Xenopus tropicalis: one gene and its partners. The protein of the gene in region 3 interacts with the protein of the main gene of each other region in a pairwise test. Links are inferred from orthologs where the notes say so. Each region holds a gene or a part of one and is shown on either strand. Other genes may lie near its edges. The genes, in order: mpp5, mpp6 and lin7a.

Region 1 (6,340 bases), on a different chromosome or scaffold from region 3:
TGGATGGCCACTGGCTGGACAAGGCATTCTCAGCATACCACTCACACATTCCATTGCACTTGTAAGGAGCATGTTTACCTTTCAGGGCACTTGCCATTGGGAGATTTTTGCACTTTGTGCTCTTATGCCAAAGCAGTCCTTCATGCATGATGTTTTGAATGTATCTGAACTCCTAAAACTAAGTACTAGAAGATTTGCCTGGTTAATATTTGGTGTGTTGAGTAATGGGGATATGGAAAAAGGACAGGAGTCTCTTTAGGAGTTTGAAACTTTTTTGGTCTGTGCCATGCTTGGCTGCTTTTAAGAATGCACGGAATCAAGGAATTGTTTCGGAGTTTGCTGAATTCCCAACACTTTTTTTTAAAATTCACATGAATGTCCAGCTGAGCAAAAACTAAAAGTTTCCTATTTTTGCCAAATATTTTGGTTTTTGAATTCAGTAATCATCCAAATCCAAAAATTGTGGATTTGATGCATCCATAGTTATTTTTGCTGGACATGCCCCATTTGCATATACCCCTTGCAGTGACTGACTGGAGTGTCAGGGACCCCCGAAACCTTAAACCACAGGCCCACTTCCAAACTATTTTTCCTTTTCTCTTCATTGACTTCCTTTATTTTTGGAATAAGTTCTCCTTACTTATTATCATAAAGCCTTCCCTCCATTTCGTTTCTTTGTTTTCACATAGAAACTGGAAATGGCCATTTTATAGGCATACAAGGCAAATGGCTGTGTGAACAGGAGGGCCCACTAAGATCTTGGCCCACCCGGTGGGCCAGTCTCACACTGACCCTTGGTTGAATAACCAATAGCTGAACGGACTATATGTCTTCAAAATATATCAAAATAATATCATACACAGTAGTCTATGCAGCCCATAAGCAGTCTGGGGTTCATAAAGAGGGCTGCGGTAGCTGCAATAACTTATAATTAAATAAATGGATCTGTTGCCCAAGGGCAATGACACACGGGATGTTTTGTTGCCCGTAATAGAACTTTGCTACCGTGGGCAACAAGAAGTCACTTGTTTCCTTCCTACTGGCTAAAATGCAAATCACAGGTGGGGAAACATACAAAGCAGCCCGAAATTTCATAAAGAGGCAACTTCTGGCCACGCCACGTATGTTTTCCCACCGGCGATTTACATTACTGCTGGTGGGAAAGCGTTTGAAGAAGATTAGTTGGCCGCAGTTATTAGAAGATTTATCACAGTTGGCTAATCTCCTAGGGGGGCAATTCACAAATGTGTCGGTAAGTATACAGTTTTTAAAGTGTCAGTCGCCAAATCGTAAAAATGTTGTAAGAATGATAGACTCGCAAAAGGTGTCTTTTATAGTTTTATGGATTTGTTGTAATGCCACAAAGTTTTTAAAAGTGTTGTATAAACAGTAAACAGTTGTAATTATTGTGCTGTGAAAACGTCCTTTGGAAAATTGAGGGAAAATTGGCCTGTGAATGAGTCCTTTTCTGATATTTTTAAGAACCCCCCCCCTCCCAATGTCTTTGTCCTAAACAAAGCCCTGCAAGGTGTTTGTTTTTTTTTATAGATAATACATGTTTTTGTGCTTCACCAAAACATCCAGTAAACATATAATTTACAGTTTGTGTATATAGTGGCTTTACACTAGGAATATTTTGTCTACTGACCTACTCCTCAACTCCTCTCCCATTCCCTCCTCAGACGCCCACATTCAAGGCTTTGCAAGGGCTGCACCCCTTCTCTGGAATTCACTTACTCTCATGTAGTTTAACATGACCTCAGTGTGCTGCTAAAAGCAATAACATGTGCCAAACCTCTCACAACTCTGGTCATGCCCATTCCCACACCTTGTGTCTCAACCCTTTCTCCTTGTAGATTGTAAGCTCTTTTGGGCAGGGCTATATATGTCACTCTGTATGTCCAAAGTATGAAGCCCACTTAATTTTACAGCGCTGCGGAATATGCTGGCGCTTTATAATAATTTGTAGCTTAATTGGCTGCATTGATGTATAATTGTGGGGTGGGCAGGTTTGGCCTGGAATTAAGTTTTTTAACTTTTGCTTAATCATTTTTCTTTCTTTTTCAAACAGGGCAGCATTAACATCAATGCCAGCTTTTATGTGCAGCTCATGAAACCACAGTGAGCTACAATGGGATACTGTACAGACTACAGGACATATACTCACCTATAAGCACCTGGACTGGGTGGTGCCGGCAGTCATGACCACTTCTCATGTGAACGGACATGTAACAGAAGACTCTGACAGTGACAAACAGAGCTCGGATCTTGCTTCTCAAGAGGAGCCACCCAAACATAGGGAAATGGCCGTCGATTGTCCTGGGGACTTGGGTACGCGGGCGATGCCCATCCGGCGGAGTGCCCAGCTGGAACGGATCCGGCAGCAGCAGGAGGATATGAGGCGTAGGCGGGAGGAAGAAGGGAAGAAACAGGATCTGGATGTTAATTCATCTATGAGGCTTAAAAAGTTGGCACAGATTTTCCCCAAAACTGGAATTGACAACCCTATATTTGATACTGATGAAAGTCTAGTGTTGGAAAGTCCTAGCAGGGCTGTGAAAGTACTGGGTATGTATTAACATTCTCTATATGTATTACTTATACATACTTATATGCAAGAAAAGACTTGCATCCTTTTCCCATTAAAGGTCAGAAGATGAAGTTTAGGTAACAGCTGGAAATTTACACACATCATTTGGGGTGCAGTAATATTTGTCCTTTATTTCCATTGTTCCTTTCTGCTGTAAAAATAAATAAATAAAGCTGCCAATCACAGAACCTATGCCCAACCAGTAAGCCCATGGGCCATGTGAGCAGCTTGAATGTTCCAACCTGATTATAGCAGCAGCAGTTCTAGCATATAACTGAGGAAGCTGCAACTGTGGGGGTTCATTTGCTAGCTTTGGGAAAATATACCCTGATACAGTAAGCCATAGCAATAAATCAGTTATTAGCTTTTATTATTATTATTACTGCAGTAGACAGATGAAAGCTAATTGCTGATTGGGTGCTTGGGGAAATGTTGGTAAATGAGCCCCAGTGTCTTTTACATCCCTGCCTTAACTCCTGCCCAAAAACTTCTTTTTTTTTTTGCTAAACGGGGTGTAAGGTCCCTTTTCACAAATATGTCAGGTGCTGTTACTAGCCTATTGCCAGGGCACTGTTCTTTGCCTAAACAAATTAGTTCAGCTCCGGAGAGCAGCAGTGATTTAGAGAGTACTTGTAGGTGCACTAAATCAAATAAATAGGGTTAATAGGAAGGCGGGATTTATGGCTAACTGCTTAAGGCACTGAAGCAATACTGTCATATCCTGCCATCTCTCTATAATACTAACAGCCGCTTACTTTATGTGGAAAAATGCCCTAGGCATTTGCCACGAGCTGATAATGTCCTCCAAGCAACCTGCTTGCGATCACTAGTGACACTTCAGGAGTTATCATGGTAAGCCCACCTGTACATCCCCCACCCTGCCGCCGCACAGCGCCATATAATCATCTCTCTAATGCTTTATTTACCTACCTACGCCCGTCCCCATAAATCTAAATTATAGCTCAGACTTTGGATCCGGCTAGCTGGGAATCTTAAAAGCCCTTCATTACAGGGGATGTCCATGATATATAAGTGCATAAAAACAGGAACAATATGCTGGTAGATATGGAATTTATTAGTTATTGAAATATAGAAACCACATAGTAGGTGAGGTTGATAAACAAAAAAAACAGACTGCCAAATTTCCAACCAGTAACTGCCAGAAAAGAAATTGCACTAATTCTTTTGTGCAACTTGGTAGCTGCCACAGGTGGACAAAAGTAGATGAAACTGTGAAAATCTGGCACTGAGAACCTCAATTATAAAGGTGCCTAGCTGACTGAGCCTGCTGGTAGGGTGTGGTACTGCAAGCAGTATTCACTATGCAATTTCAGTAAAGCCCCCCATAAAATGCAGACCCCTTATCAGTGGAGGGCTTTACAACATACCCATCTAAGTATATATTTCGATAAGACGCTGTAAGCTTTGTTGAAATTAAAGATGGACTGGTAACCGGCAGACTTGTGCTCCCTCCTCCGTTCCGTTTGTTGCTGACCTGCAGGGCTTCGTTCCAGCCGCGTGCGTAAGCAGTGGTGATAGGGCCCTGTCCCCCCCCAACACAGGGAGTATTTTCATAACGCTTCTCTCGTTGTATTCTTGCTGAGTAATCACATTCCTCCCACCAAAATAACTTGCCCAGAATTCCCCTTTCATTTGTCACATTTCAAGTCTGTTAGTTTGTGTAGGGAAAGATTATTCAGATAGCTGACCAGTTTATAATGTTCCATATTCCTGCCCTGCCGTTTATATTGCGGCTTTAAGCATTGCCTGTTTACTAGGCACAGTGATGCCTTTCATTCATTGTTTTTAGTTTACCAATCTCTTGCCAATAAAGCTGGATACAACCTTCTTACCTTCATTTAAAGGAAGGCAACACTAGCAAACTCCCTGCATGCTTACTATTTGCTACATGTAGGCCACAGCAGAAGAGGGGTAAGGGGTTTCGTGCCTGCTGGTGTGGGTCCCACCAAAGGGTTTTTCGTGGGGGAGCCAAGCAACTCTACTACGGTCCATGTCACCTTTCTTAAAATCTTATGGTACTGCTATTGAGTAAGGTGCTCCCTCCATTCTTCCGTTGTCCACATTCATTTTTTAATTCGTTTCCTGTTTTTCTCCATTTCAGTCCATTATAAGCCCCTCTTAAGTACAGCTTTGTCTCTATAATATATATTTTATTTTATATAATATATATATGTAAGTGTTACCTTGGATTTGTAATATTGTGTATATTATTTATGTATGTGTGTGTGTGTGTATATATAATTTCTGTAGGGCCCACATCTGCACATCTGCATACTGGATAAAAGATTTGAAGTACAATGGCATTGCTAGAGTGAGTGTAAACAGGGAATGAATGCCACTGATACTTCTTTAGACAGCTTTAGGATAATAAAGGATATGATATGTATAATTTGTTCACTGATGTTACTTGACCCTAAATAAAAGATGCAGTCTGTATCATATTGTTTATGGTTTTGATATTGAGGTTTTAGTCGCCCTTTAAGAGAAAAGTTGCAAAGTGCATTGTGTGGGAGGTATATGAGCTTCTAAATGTCTAACCACTAGGGGCGCTTTCCTCTGTCTGTATGGTACATTTTGGCTCTTCTGGGCAGCTTGGCTGTGCAGGTATGAGGGCTTCATATAGGAGCATATAGGCCCATACGCTTCAGTATCTGGCTGAAGGCTAAGGAGTCAGGCCATGGTTCCTGACTGCTGGACCCTCTATGTTTACATACTTACCCTAAATGTTGGAGACATGACTTCCAGCACATGCTTATTGCCAGATTGTGGGAAATTGAAAAGAAAATCCCTTTTGACACGGTGGTGCCTGGATAGTAGTAAGTCCTCTGTGCCTGGCATTGGGTAAATGGTTACGCGGCAGTATTGTGTCCTGCCCGCATTGTTGCTGGCAAACTTAGAGCACAAAAGACTCCGAAAGAAAACTTTCCATTTAGTCATTGTCTTTGCTGGACTCTCATTTGCGTAGATCCGTGTTTGCCTGGGTGGAATCTGAGTTGGCAACAATGTCGCGCTGAATCTAATTATGCCCCAAATAACAGGGTGCCCATTTATCCTGGACAGCTGTCTTTTGATATGGGAATGTCAAAGACTCTTTGTGTGTGCTTTATTGCTGCTCTTTTTGCTGTCCTGGCCCCCGCGGCATGCCACTGCTTTCGCTTGTCCCAGCTGACCTAGCCTCTCCTTCTCATTCCATCAGGGTTGTGAGTGATAAGCGCGTAGTGCCTGGGAGGCTCTGCACAACTGCCTCCAGATTCTCTCCTTATGGGACACAATTGCTGCCGCCACCGCCTGCTTGTGACTACAAAGTGAGTGGGTGCGTGGGTCTCTCGCGTGAATGGGATTGACTCTGTATGTCTGATTTGCATGGAAAGTACAGTATGGAGCTAAAGCCCTTGAAAGCACCAGCACTTGCATGATCATATGGTGTTTTCTGCCAAACTGTATATTCTGTGGCTAGAGGTGGTCTAAACTGTAATGTATATTGCACTGATATGGTACAGTAAGAAAGCAACTGATGTCTTCAGAGAGGCAAGAGAGGTCCCACCTAGGATGGCTGTACTGTTATGCTGTACACAATGTTATTAAGGGCTCTTTCCTACTACTAAGTGTTGTATTAGGTGGTTTAATGTTCTTCTTGTGTCGCGGGTTTCTACCACACTCCAAAGCTACACAGGCAGGTTAACTGGACTCTAGAGTGTGAGTGTGGTAGGGATGTAGATTGTAAGTTTT
Region 2 (7,084 bases), on a different chromosome or scaffold from region 3:
AGCATGGCTGCCTGTTAAGCAAAGGATAGCTTACAAAACCCTTCTGCTGACATTCAAAGCCCTCCACTCCTCTGCTCCTCACTACATTTCTTCACTGGTCTCCCTACATGTTCCTGGTCGTCTCCTCCGCTCCTCTCAGAGCCTCCGTCTTTTTACACCATCCACACCCACTGCGCTCTCTCGTCTTAAACCTTTCTATCTCGCTGCTCCTTACCTCTGGAACTCTATCCCTGAATCCCTTCGTAGGGATAACTCACCCACTCTCTTTAAGAAAAAACTCAGCTGTTACATTCTGGAGCACTAAAACATTATTTTGCCCAGTCCTGCGCTTAAGGGCAAATGCCCATACCTGATGCACTCTTACCTTCCAGTTTGTGCCTGTATGTTACCCAACCACTCAGATTGTAAGCTCTACGGGGCAGGGACCTCCTTCCTACTGTGTCTCATACCACATGGCACACATATATGTATTTATTTATTATATCACTTGTCCTCCCTGTGTGTAATTTTGTATTCTGTAAGACTGTACAGCGCTGCGTACCCTTGTGGCGCTTTATAAATAAAGTTATACATACATACATACATAAAACTGAAGTTTAAAGGACAATGCAAACCAGTGTCAGTGAGATTTGTGCTTATTGTGCTTACAGGCAGTCTCCATTCACATATGAATGTCAGGTCTGTAGCCTGCCTTTGGCGAGATACCCATTAAGGTAACACTTTCCTTTGGGCTGCAGTGGCACTATTAGGCTGGACTCATCCTCTCCTGGATACATGCTGCATTGGAAAATGCACCAAATACCTAACACTTGTGTTGCAGTGCAGTTGTATGTTCTTACCAGAAAATTGAGCTCAGCATCAATAGCTGCCTGGTACCGGATTACAGCCTAGTACAGTTCACATTGCAAGGCGCCACCAACCAGATGTTGGAAAGAACTTCCTTCCATAATAATACAGTGTATGTAATGAGCACAATGCTTTCCGCTGTGGATTACACTCCATATCCTGGTAGGGGTAACATTGCACTACTCTAGCAGTTTTGCACAGGTTAAACTGCACACTACTGTAGCAGCACTGTACAGAATACACATCTCAGATCAGCAGATAAAATATGAATTATATTACAAACTACCCCCAGCAGTACCATATGGGTCACACAACTTTCCTCCCAGCAGTTCCACACACACTTCACTAGCAGACTTGCAGCCCAGTACAAAGCAGTCAACTTGTTTCCCTTTATGGATTTCAGCAAAGCTAGTGTAGAGTTAAAATGTTTTTTTGGGAAAAGCGAACATCCCCTATCTGCCTATAATCCCCTGTAATGTAACATACTGTTTTTCCCATAGAAAACAACCCCAACCCTGACTGTCTAACCCAGGGATCCCCAACCTTTTATACCTGTGAGCCACATTCAAATGGAAAAAGTGTTGGGGTGCAACACAAGCATGAAAAAGATTCCTAGGGGTGCAAATAAGGGCTATAATTTGCTTTTTGGTAGCCCCTATGTGGACTGGCAGTCTACAGAAGGCTCTGTTTGGGTTTTTATGCAACCAAAACTTGCCTCCAAGCCAGAAATTCAAAAATAAGCACCTACTTTGAGGCCACTGGGAGCAACATCCAAGGGTTTGGGGAGCAACATGTTGCTTACGAACCACTGGTTGGGGATCACTGGTCAAACCTAATAGTTTAAATCAGGGATGGCCAATACGTCAATCGCGGTCCACCAGTCGATCCCCCGTGGATTTCTGGTGGACCGCGATCAAGCCGGGGATGTGGAAGTGCTCCGTGAATGCGTACATACGCTGCGATACGTACGTACTCACGCACTTGTGCATTTGGCATCAGTCCGGTCCATCGCGACCAAAGAAAGTCTGGCCACCCCCGGTTTAAATCTTCCATCCTCTTTTCCTCTGCACTCTCCATCTCATTACTGCACTGCATACTCAAGGTGAGACCTTACCAGGGACCTATAAAGGGGCAAAATTATGTTTTCATCCCTTGAGTCAATGCCCTTTTTTTATTTTTACAAGACAGCACTTTATTTACTTTAGTAGCCACAGAATGACACAAAAATCCCCAGATCCTTCTCAATTGAGGGTCCCCCCAACATACTACCATTTAGTGTATAACTTGCATTTATATTGTTCCTATCAAAGTGTAAAACTTTTCACTTGTCAACAGTGAACCTCCTTTTCCATTTTGCTTTCAATTTTGTCAAATTGCTTTGCAAACTAGCAGCATCCTGCATGGAACTTGATTTCAGAAATAGCCCAGAATTTAGGTGATTCAGTTGAGAATGTTTTATGCCCATTGTGATGAAGCACATTTCCATTTTTATTTTTGTGATCCCATTCAAGTTTTCCTTTACAGAAATGAGGAGCCCTAACCTCAAACCATTATCATTGCCCCCATCCACATTTACATCTGCCAATGGCATTATGCATTCAGGAAGGCAGTGTCCCCCTGGCAGCCGCCAAGCCACACGTATTGATCAGACTGCCAGATGGCACAGTGAAATTTCCGCAGCTCCAGGGTCCATAGGCGCTTACATGGCACAGGGTTATGTTGGGTTTGAGTGCAGCTGCTCAACCCTAATTAAATAAACCACTGTCTCCTGCGAATGTTTCCTGCACCGATGTTGTTTCCATACAGGTTGGAACTGGCCAGTGAGTCCAAACACAGGACTGTAATTTTAGAGGCGATCCTGGGATACTATTAGTTATATTACATATGTGCAACACTATATACTGTTCTACTCCAGTTGCCCTCTGTCTACATGTACATGTGCAGCACTATCGCTGCTCCTATCCATCTGCCCCGCTAAGAAAGAGCCTGCCCACCCCAAGCATTCCTACACATACACACTCCCATGCCTCCCCCCCCAAATCCCGAACAAATGAAAGGGTGCCCCGCCTCCGGCCGCACAACTGGACGCATCACACCGGCCGCTCCCTGAAGCCCTTTCTGTAGCTCCTGTAGCCGCTCGGTACGACCCTCACACCCACCCCAGTCCGTAAGCGCAGCTCCACTCGCAGCCCCTCTATCTGTACACATCTGCACCGTCCATGCCCCCTATTACTACAACCTTCACCTCAACTCCTCTCCCCGTTTCTCATGTGGCACTGTGAGGAGGCGGGCTTTTCTCTAGCAGGTACAGGCGCTGGCCACGCCCCTAAGTGACTTCAAACTGTCCCCGCCCACATTCTGGTCACGTGACTGTGACATCACGACCTCCTGAAAGCCGCTCCAGTCTGGCACCCAGTTAGAGTTTACATGTGTCGCTTGTTCCCCTCTCTTGCTAAGCTCTCTCAGCGTGACTGTACATTGCAGGCTGGAGCATCCACTGTGTGGAGCGGAGCCAGCTTGGGAGGTACCATCTACATAGCGGGGAGCGGCTGGAGAAGGACTGGGGGCCAGGCACGGCGCGCTGTGGAGAGACAGAGGTGAGTGCTGTCAGTGGCCGGGAGCGCTATGATTTGTGCCCAGTACGGCAGTGGGAGGAGGAGGAGCTGCAGACATGTGCAGCATATAGAGGCTTAGCGGCTGGACTAAGTATGTTTGCTCGGTGGGCTCCGTGTCACAGGCAGTGCTCCTGTGTCCCCTCATGTCACAAGGGAGAGCTAGCATTACTGGGAGTGCGCGGAGTGTCCATGCTGGCTTATTACCTATCAGCCTAACAAATGGCACATACTTGTCATATGGAAGGGCCCAGAGGGCAGTTGAGCCGCAAGTTCTGCTTTCAGGGAGGGCGCCCTGCGTTATGCGGCTTTTTAAGAGCGACGGTGTCTGTGCGACAGTTAAATACTATTACTGTATCAGGCAACGCGGCCCTCCGTCTGCCTATGAACTGCAACATCGGGGGGAGGCGGACACAGCAGAGGGCTTACTGCATATGTCTGTGTGGCAACTTGTGCTCCTTGCTGTAGCTATGATTTCGCAGTACGCGTCTGTGTGCCTGGATCGTGTGTGTCTTACTGATCCTGTGGCTCTATGGCTTGTCCCTTATCTAACAAGTGCACACATTTCCCCCAGCCCTATAAGCACAAATGCCTCCTGTATCTTGTACAGATAAATCACATTTATGTACAGAAGCACCGAATGCCTGTGTGGAGCCTTGTCCCTTGTGACTGTGGGTACTGTCAGGCTGAATCCGCTGCTTGCAAAAGCCACAGGCTCTGCTTTAGGTGTATAATGTGCCTGTAGCAACGGTTTCCATTAGAAATACCCCTAATACTTAGGGAAGGTATGCAGTAAATGGCATTATTGAAACTATAGTAAAATAGAAAATGATCTAATTCATTTATCTATACTATCATATGCAGTTATAATGAACATTTACTCCTGCCCCCACTTACCTAAATGGTTTATTCTCACTTTTTGTACAGCTCATAAATGTACTTTTTTTGCAACCTTTCAGTGGATATCATGGGCTCTAAAGAATCATTGGCAGCAGATATATCCACTGGAACATTGGCATAGGTCTTAGGGCAGTTAATGAAAATAATGTGGCCTTGTCTCTACTTTAATGAAGAGTAGTATTCACAAAAGCTAAAAATATATTTAGGGTGGGTATTTAAACTATCTGTGGTAAAGGATTTCAGAGCTAGCCAACTCACAGGGACTACAGCTTCTTGGCTACTGAAACTGCACTTCTAGCTTTTTACATTTGAAATAAAAATATTCATACAGAAATGCACATTCCATGCTCAGAATCTGGAAGAAAGCTTTGCAGTAAGTGCTCTGTAAGCTACTGAAGTTGCCAGTAGTTTATTTAATAAATCACTTCATTACCCTTCACCGGTACAAAAAAGCTGTGAGTGTATAACTTACAGAAGGTGTCTATAACCTGGAACAATGCAGTGAGCTTTGCTTGGTCTGTAGGACAAAAGTGCATTATAGTAGTTTTACTTGTGTTTTTTCCTTCAATTTTTATGTTTGTCTACTTTTTTAAAAATGTTGTTATACAAATGCTACAACAGGGCAGTTTTACATTTTGCAGTAAAGATGCTTGAGTAAAGATACATATTCTAACCGTATTATATTAAAAAAAAAAAAATGTGCAGTGCATTATACTCCTCTAAATGTGAAAGGAATTTGCTTTAAAAAGATTTGTTTTGGGCTGTTTTATTAAGATTAATTGAGAAATTTCCCCCAACCCCTACTAGTCCTGCCTATCTGTTCCACTTCCTGCTGCCTCCTTCCCCAGGCAGTGCAGGGGGGCCTGCACAACTCAGCACTCTCACTGAACTGTAGGATAGGAACCAATCAGCAGTCAGGTGAAGGAGCTAGAGAACTAATGCCTGCCTTTGCTTGTGTGACTGCTGGACTGTGATTGGCTCCTACTGTGCTTCCGGCAGGGACCATTAGGACACGCCCACTCCCCATTTGAAACAGGGACTATACCAGATATTTGAGGAACTTCAATAAATTACAATTTTTAAAGTTAATAATTTTTGGCTCAGAGTGAAACCTGACACATGTAAAGCAATCCTTTCCTTAATTATGTTGGATATAAAAAGGGCCCTGAATTAGACTCTGGCAGGGAAAAGTAAAAAATTTAAAGTATTCAGAATCTGCAAGCCTCACACTCATGTAAAGTCCATCAAGTCTTTACAGAACCCATTAGTTTGGGTATATAATCTGCTTTTTGGAATGCTTGGGACCTGAGGTTTTCCAGATAAAAGATATTTCCTCAACGTGGATTACTGTACTTTAAGTCTGCTAAAAATAATCGAAACAATAAATAAACCCAATGGCATTGTTTTGCCCCCAATATGAATTCATGCAGTTTAGTTACCAACAAGTATAAGCTGCTGTTTTATTATTACAGAGAAAAAGGAAATCATTTTTAAAAATAAGACTTATTTGCTTAAATTGGACTTAATGGGAAATGGCCTTCCCATAGTTCTGTGCTTCCTGGATAATGGGTTTCTGGACAAGGGATGCTATACCTGTAGTGGCTATTTAGCCATGCATAGATCATTGGTCTTTTCCTAGTTTTTATCACTCATTACTGCTTGTACTGGAACAGAACTTCATAACTTGAATTACCATTCCCTAAAGGAACCCTTCCAGTGTTTCCGGAAATACCTTTCATCTAGTCTCTATGGATGTCCTCTTGTCACCATGCTTTTGTATTGACCTTGTAAATATCTGTTCTTGTACATCTGTGCTAACATGAAATTGTATATGGTGTCACTAATTTCTCACAGCATTGCAGCACAGCATACCTACTCAGGAACGGGCACAGAGGGGTCTAACAAACAATTCATTTTACATATGCAAAATCAGCCCCCTTGTATCATCTTTTCTTTATATGTGATCTAAAACTTTGCATATATATACTATATCATAAAATGTGGTCACTTAATATATTCTCTTAAAAGTTACTGTTAATAATGGTATTTAAAATAATAATAATGCATAGTATGTTCTTTGGAGTTTTAGGGGGAAGCTTTTACTTCCCATTTAATAAAACTTTTACTTCCCATTTAATACTATAAAAGGACAATAAAAATTGCTGATCCATAATCTTTTTAGCTGTAGCTTAAATATAATATGTTCTGTTTACAGGAATTGTCTTTGTTCCCATCTAGTTTTCTAGTTAGGTGAAGTTTTCCCTTTGCTACCTTATGTGAAATGGTATCAAAGCCTTTGGAAATTCTAATCATCCCAAACCTGACTTACCATTATGGGCATGAGTGAGATCTAAACAGTTATGTCTGATATTGGACCGTCTTTATCAAGTAACGCTAAAAAGGTTAGTGTTAGAGGGGCTTTCCAAGAATGATACCCAACAGAAATAGAAAACTAATGAATAATTGTTCAGCTAAATTAAAAAAAAAAGTATATCAGATCATTCATCTGAGCATGAAATTAGAAAACAATGTGTCTTGCTTTTTTTATCTTGACAAATGTGCATGAAGTGACATTTGTTCAGTTAACTGGCACCTTAATATCTGCTATGGACTGTGTTTCAAGCAGGGTGTCATGATAGTAGCATGCAGCCTCTTGCAAGATTATTTTTCCTTAATTTCACCAGTTCCTAAATTGTCTTTAAGGGCGAAGACGCACAGAGCGATTA
Region 3 (5,623 bases):
AAATCTGCCTCTAATACCTCATGGTTCATGAGTATATTGCTAAACCCTAAAGATTATGCTCATTTTGTGCATTACTACATTGGTAAATGTAAATACTGGATGGAGCATGTAGGTTGGGAAAATTGAATGCAACATTGGAACCAGTGATAATGCTGACACCACTCCATGGCAAGAGCCCAAGTGAGATAAATATGGCATGGGGGTAATGTCACGTGGTCAAGTCTCATGTACTGTATAAATGCTTAAACAACTCATTATCAATAAGGATACACGTAACATTTCAGTGTCCTTTAACAATGCTTTCTTAGGTGCATTCTGAAGTAAAAGGCACAGTGCAGGCCTACTGTACTGTTTTCAGATTACAACTGGGGCACAGTGTCTAATAAAATATACTGATACTTTTTAAAAAATATATAACTGATTATCTTAAAGGTGACCTGTCGCCCTAAGAAAAAACTCCAAATTATTTTCTATATTGTTAGTTGAGCAAAATAAACTTTACTTACTCTATATAAATAATATAAATCTTGTTTCCTTCCATCTTGGAATTACTCAATCAAAGCAAGCAGGCAGGCACCATTTTGTGGACACTGTTATTAAGGCAAGCTTTGTATCATGCCAAAATCTTGTTTATGTGCCAGAATGGGGGGCCAGATGCCCAGGCCCGTGCACTGGCTACACAATGAGATGATGAGGAGGGAGGGGAAAAGTGAGATGTGCAGTGACATCTAGGTAGTGCTGAATGGAAAGCTAAAGTTATTGTCTGCCCCGCCTCTATGATGGGTCTGTATGTGTTAATATAAAAATGAATTTGGGTTTCATGTTTAATCTGAAAAGGACTTTTATTATACAGCTTTTTATGTCTGGGTGACAGGTCCTCTTTAATACATTTATATATATATATATATATATATATATATATATATATATATATATATATATATATATATATATATATATATATATATATATATATATATATATACACATATATATATATATATTTTGTTTTCTTTTATTTATTCATAATAAGAAGTGTTTTCAAGGGGGAAATAATTAGTGCCCATCAAGTTAAGGTAAACCACTGACTATAGGGACATGTCGCAGTTATTCAGAATTCACCAACTGCAAGTGAGTTTCATTGCTGCAAAGCAGCCAGAGGCACGTATCATCTAATGTCTCTACTGACCTTCATTCCTCTAGCAGAAGATTGGCTGCAGTTATTTGGCTATACTGCCAAGAAATGTTTAATACACAGCATCTGCTGTCTGCCCCACAATGAGAGTTTAAATTGGTTTCACACCACTGCAATGTCGTTTAGGATATAAGTTGATAGTATATTAGTTTAGGAATAAGTTTAATGTGAATGCTTATTAAACATATACCTACTGTATATTTCAAATACGTTGATCAGATTACGTTAAATATCTCTTTTTTTAGCTTGCTTGAATTTATCTAATTTTTCTTAAATATACAGAGTGTGGAAGGGGAACATCATGAGAAAGCAGTGGAATTGCTTAAAGCTGCTAAAGACAGTGTAAAGCTAGTAGTGCGATACACACCAAAGGTGTTGGATGAAATGGAAGCTCGCTTTGAAAAGCTGAGGACTGCTAGGCGGAGGCAACAACAGCAGCTATTAATTCAGCAGCAGCAGCAACAGCAGCAACAACAGCACACGCAGCAAAATCATATGTCGTAGGTGAGAGTTTTCATTGCTTTCACTTCTTATGAGAATGTGGAAATTAGAGAGTCTCATTGCTATGATCTGACTCACAACTTGTCATTGATACGTGAATTGTTTTTTTTTTTTACAAGGGTGGTTATTTATCAACATCCAAAGATGAATATTCAGATCCGTAACCCTTAGGGGGAAATTCACAAAGGTTGTGATACTGAGACAAAATAAAAGTGGAGATAGATTTGTCGGATTTTCCACCGTATTCACAAACCTTTTTCTCCACTTTTGTGAATTTGTCTTTTAAACAAACTGTTCTCCGATTTTGTCATTTTATCAACAATGTTAATGATGGGCTCCTACCAGAGGTGTGAAATGGAGACTGGGTGAAACAAAGCAAAACAGAAGAGCTTAGAATTGATCTGACAGAGTTACACTGAGCTTCACTCCATTTTGAAAATGGCGGGGGGGAAATGTTGTTAAAATGTGGTGTAAATGTCATTTAAAGACAAATTCACAAAATGTCTGTAAACTGTCTTTCACCAAAAACAGAAAAGTGGAATTTAGGCGGATGAATATGGAGAAAATGTTTTCCACCAGTTTTCCCACTACTTTTACTCCAAAAAAGGGCTATTTTGATTTGCAGCGAATTTCCACATTTTGGCATTGGCGAATTGTTTCGCTAAACTGCCGTGAAAATTCGCCGCAGAAAAATTTGACGGGCGTAAAAAAAAAAAAAGACAAGGGCGACAAAAATTGATTAAGTACCAGGAGGTACGAAACGCGTAAGGCTCTTTGTATCATGTGTTAAATAAAAAGTTTTTTTGATTTTACCTCCACTTCTCATGAACAATTGCTATCCACTAATGATTTGACCGGAGTGCCTGCCTTTTTTCTATTTTTGAGACGACAAAAAAAAACCTGTGCAACAAATAAATTTCGCAAATTTTTCGCCGTTTCCCTAATGTTCTTGCCGTTTCGCAAATTTTATGGCAAAGCGAAACAGAACAGATTCGCTCACCTATCATAACCTGACTCCACCTACTTCATGAAGAGAAAATAGAGAGAGAAATATTCCTGAGATGGGCAGTATAAAAAGCAACTTTATTATATTGTAAACTGAATTTTCAATCAATTATATTTAGAAAGTGTCTTATTTTAGTGTGATGAAGCTTATATTATGTTTGAATTTTCATGATAGATCCCCTTTCAACTGTACCAAGGTCACCAGCTCGGTGGATATGCTGGTTTTCTGGGTTGCCTGCTAAAGCAATTCCAAACATTAATCCAAGGGACCACCTACCCTTTGAGAAGTTTTATTCCTTACTGACACAAAACCATTTGTTTAGTACATTTAAACTATCAAATCCAATGCCAGGCACCCACCACCATGCTTGCTGTGACAAACCCCCCTAACTATTTGCCAGTGACACAAAACCCTTTTCCTCTCCCAGGCCACGCTTGAGACAACTTACACAATTATTGAAGGGAAGGTGGGGTGGGACTGCTCCTTTTCTCTTCCTGACATAACCTCCTATGCTTTTCCTGATGTAACTACCCAAAATCCTTCTTACAGCTCCACTCTTCCACTGCTAAACTCTACCCCCAATATGTTAAACCTTTTCCTGCCTGCCCTATCATAAGCCACTGGTGATCAATTGTAAACTGGGCAGCTATTCTGTCAAAGTCTACCCTTCTTGCACCTTGTAGTACTCAGCAGAACTTTACATTATCCCAAGCACTGATCCCATCAGAGTGCCCTGCCTCTTAAAGGAGTACTATACCCCTGGGCTATAAAAGCCTCCTTAACTATCACTGCCTTGACTCCCCTCATCTCTCCCTTATCGCATAGTTTCTAAGTTTAACAACTGTCCCTATCACTAACCCCTAGCTAAAACAGCAGAGTAGTGCAGCAGAACACCTGGCTGACATCTTCTTAGCAACTGAAGAGACTTTGGGTCTCACTGCGGTCACAGACCCTACTTGCGCATGTGCAGTTTGAGCTGATTTCCTGCTATTTCCAACTGCGAATGCGCAAGCAAGGTTCGTATTGGCAGAGAGACCCAAAGTGTCTTGAGTTGCCAAGAAGATGTCGGCCAGATACGCTGCTGCTATACTCTGCTGTTTTAGCTAGGGGTTAGTGATAGGGACAATGTTAAACTTAAAAACTATGCGATAAGGGAGAGGTGAGAGGGGTCAAGGCAGGGGTCACCCGGGGGTATAGTTCTCCTTTAATGACAGAAAATTATGTACCAGAGGTGAATTTTCCAACATAAAACATTAGATGCCATTTCAGGAAGAGCTGGAAGGTGGTAAAGTAAAATATGCAGTGGTAACAAATTCCAGACATGAGACAGTTAATAAGATCCATTTAAAAAAATGACTTGTTCCACAAATCCATGAGTGGGCTACACTGCAACATTATTCTTAAACTTATGACTGAATAAGTGAGAAGATGAAGGTAGTATAAATCTTAGCTACAGGTAAGTTATAAGAAGTAGGTGATTAACAGTGTCAGAAACTCAAGTGTTTGCATAACATGCCCATTCTTGAAGAAGATTCTTGGAAGGATGGAAGAAAGAGGATGGAAGCTTAAAGTTAAAGAGCAGGAAACATAGGAAAACCATGCTAAGGGACTGCTACAGTGAATAGCATGCATTGTACTGTTGCTTAGAACTTCAGCAGCCTTGTCATACCAAACCAAGAGAAATGGGAATTTTCCATTAGGTGCTTGGATATTCACATATTACAACAGAAGAAAGTTTTAAAAAGCAGATTAAGACATTATGATATAAATCAGCATGTAAAAACAGAGAACATTGCAACACATATGCTTAAAAGTTATAGTAGTTAAGACTGTTACATTGGTACAAAGAACACAGAAAACTGCAGTTCTGAACTGAATTTTCAGAGAGGGAGGAGAAGGCAGTTTCTTTCTTTCATTGAGAAATCAGGGCTTCTACGACAAACTATGTTCAGAACAGGCTATATGCAGTCGTCTGTCAGACATCTGAAATTAAGAATTAAGAAAGTTAAAAGAAATTTGTTGTGACTGCTTAGCTAGAATTATATTTTTCCTGCCAGTTTTAGTGTGCATATTTGGAATTACACAGTGTAAAACAGAACTGCTAGCAGCTATGGACTGTATATACTGTATATAGCAGCACTGTGTCCTACATATTAATGTAGCCCTAAATATATAAAGACCACCAAAACAAGAATGAAGCAAGGTTGGCATAGTATTTCCAAAATGTTTTGGGGTAATTCTCTCAGGAGAAAGTATACACACTAAGTAGGGGAATACAAATTTGAAATATATCTCTTACCGTATATACTCGAGTATAAGCCGAGGTAGCTAATTTTACCAAAGAAAACTGGAAAAACTTATTGACTCGAGTATAAGCCTATGGTGGGAAATGCAGCAGCTATTGCTAAGTTTCAATAATCAAAATAAATACCAATAAAATTACATTAATTGAGACATAAGTGGGGTATTTGTTTTTAAATATTTATTTCAAAGAAAAACAGTAAACTAGCTCTGTAAGTGGAGAAGATGGTCAACAAAAACAATGAGTACTACCCCACGCTCATTGCGCATTGGCAAACTGGCAGCTAGGGTAGGGTCTGGTTGCGGGTGGCCTAATTTGCACACAAAGGACAGAAGGTGCTAGTCTGGAGGGACCCATGGCACCCGACTCGAGTATAAGCCGAGGGTGACTTTTTCAGCACATTTTGGGTGCTGAAAAACTAGGCTTATACTCGAGTATATACAGTAATTAAAAATTACAGTACCAATGCATTCATTTGCTCTCAGATGTTTGGCTTTTTCTTTATCTTTTCAGTTTTTTCTCGAGAAAAAAGCACTGACTTGAAAACCAACAAAAGAGCAATTCAGCTGTGCTTCACCAGTCCAAATGGTACATGGTGCAGGAAACACAACAAAGAGGA

The links.
Region 1: the proteins of lin7a (region 3) and mpp5 interact in binary tests that used the Homo sapiens proteins (3 or more experiments, as listed by UniProt). The two-hybrid records come from large-scale screens. The link is inferred for Xenopus tropicalis from reciprocal best matches to the Homo sapiens genes LIN7A and PALS1.
Region 2: the proteins of lin7a (region 3) and mpp6 interact in binary tests that used the Homo sapiens proteins (3 or more experiments, as listed by UniProt). The link is inferred for Xenopus tropicalis from reciprocal best matches to the Homo sapiens genes LIN7A and PALS2.

Annotation. Positions count from the first base shown.
Region 1 is NC_030684.2:119,267,247-119,273,586, reverse strand, and holds part of mpp5 (MAGUK p55 subfamily member 5), read left to right. Parts: intron 1-2,071; 5' UTR 2,072-2,201; coding exon 2,202-2,568; intron 2,569-6,340. UniProt on the Homo sapiens protein: Plays a role in tight junction biogenesis and in the establishment of cell polarity in epithelial cells.
Region 2 is NC_030682.2:40,897,755-40,904,838, forward strand, and holds the start of mpp6 (MAGUK p55 subfamily member 6), read left to right. Parts: upstream 1-3,327; 5' UTR 3,328-3,443; intron 3,444-7,084.
Region 3 is NC_030679.2:52,567,173-52,572,795, reverse strand, and holds part of lin7a (protein lin-7 homolog A), read left to right. Parts: intron 1-1,477; coding exon 1,478-1,699; intron 1,700-5,517; 3' UTR 5,518-5,623. UniProt on the Homo sapiens protein: Plays a role in establishing and maintaining the asymmetric distribution of channels and receptors at the plasma membrane of polarized cells.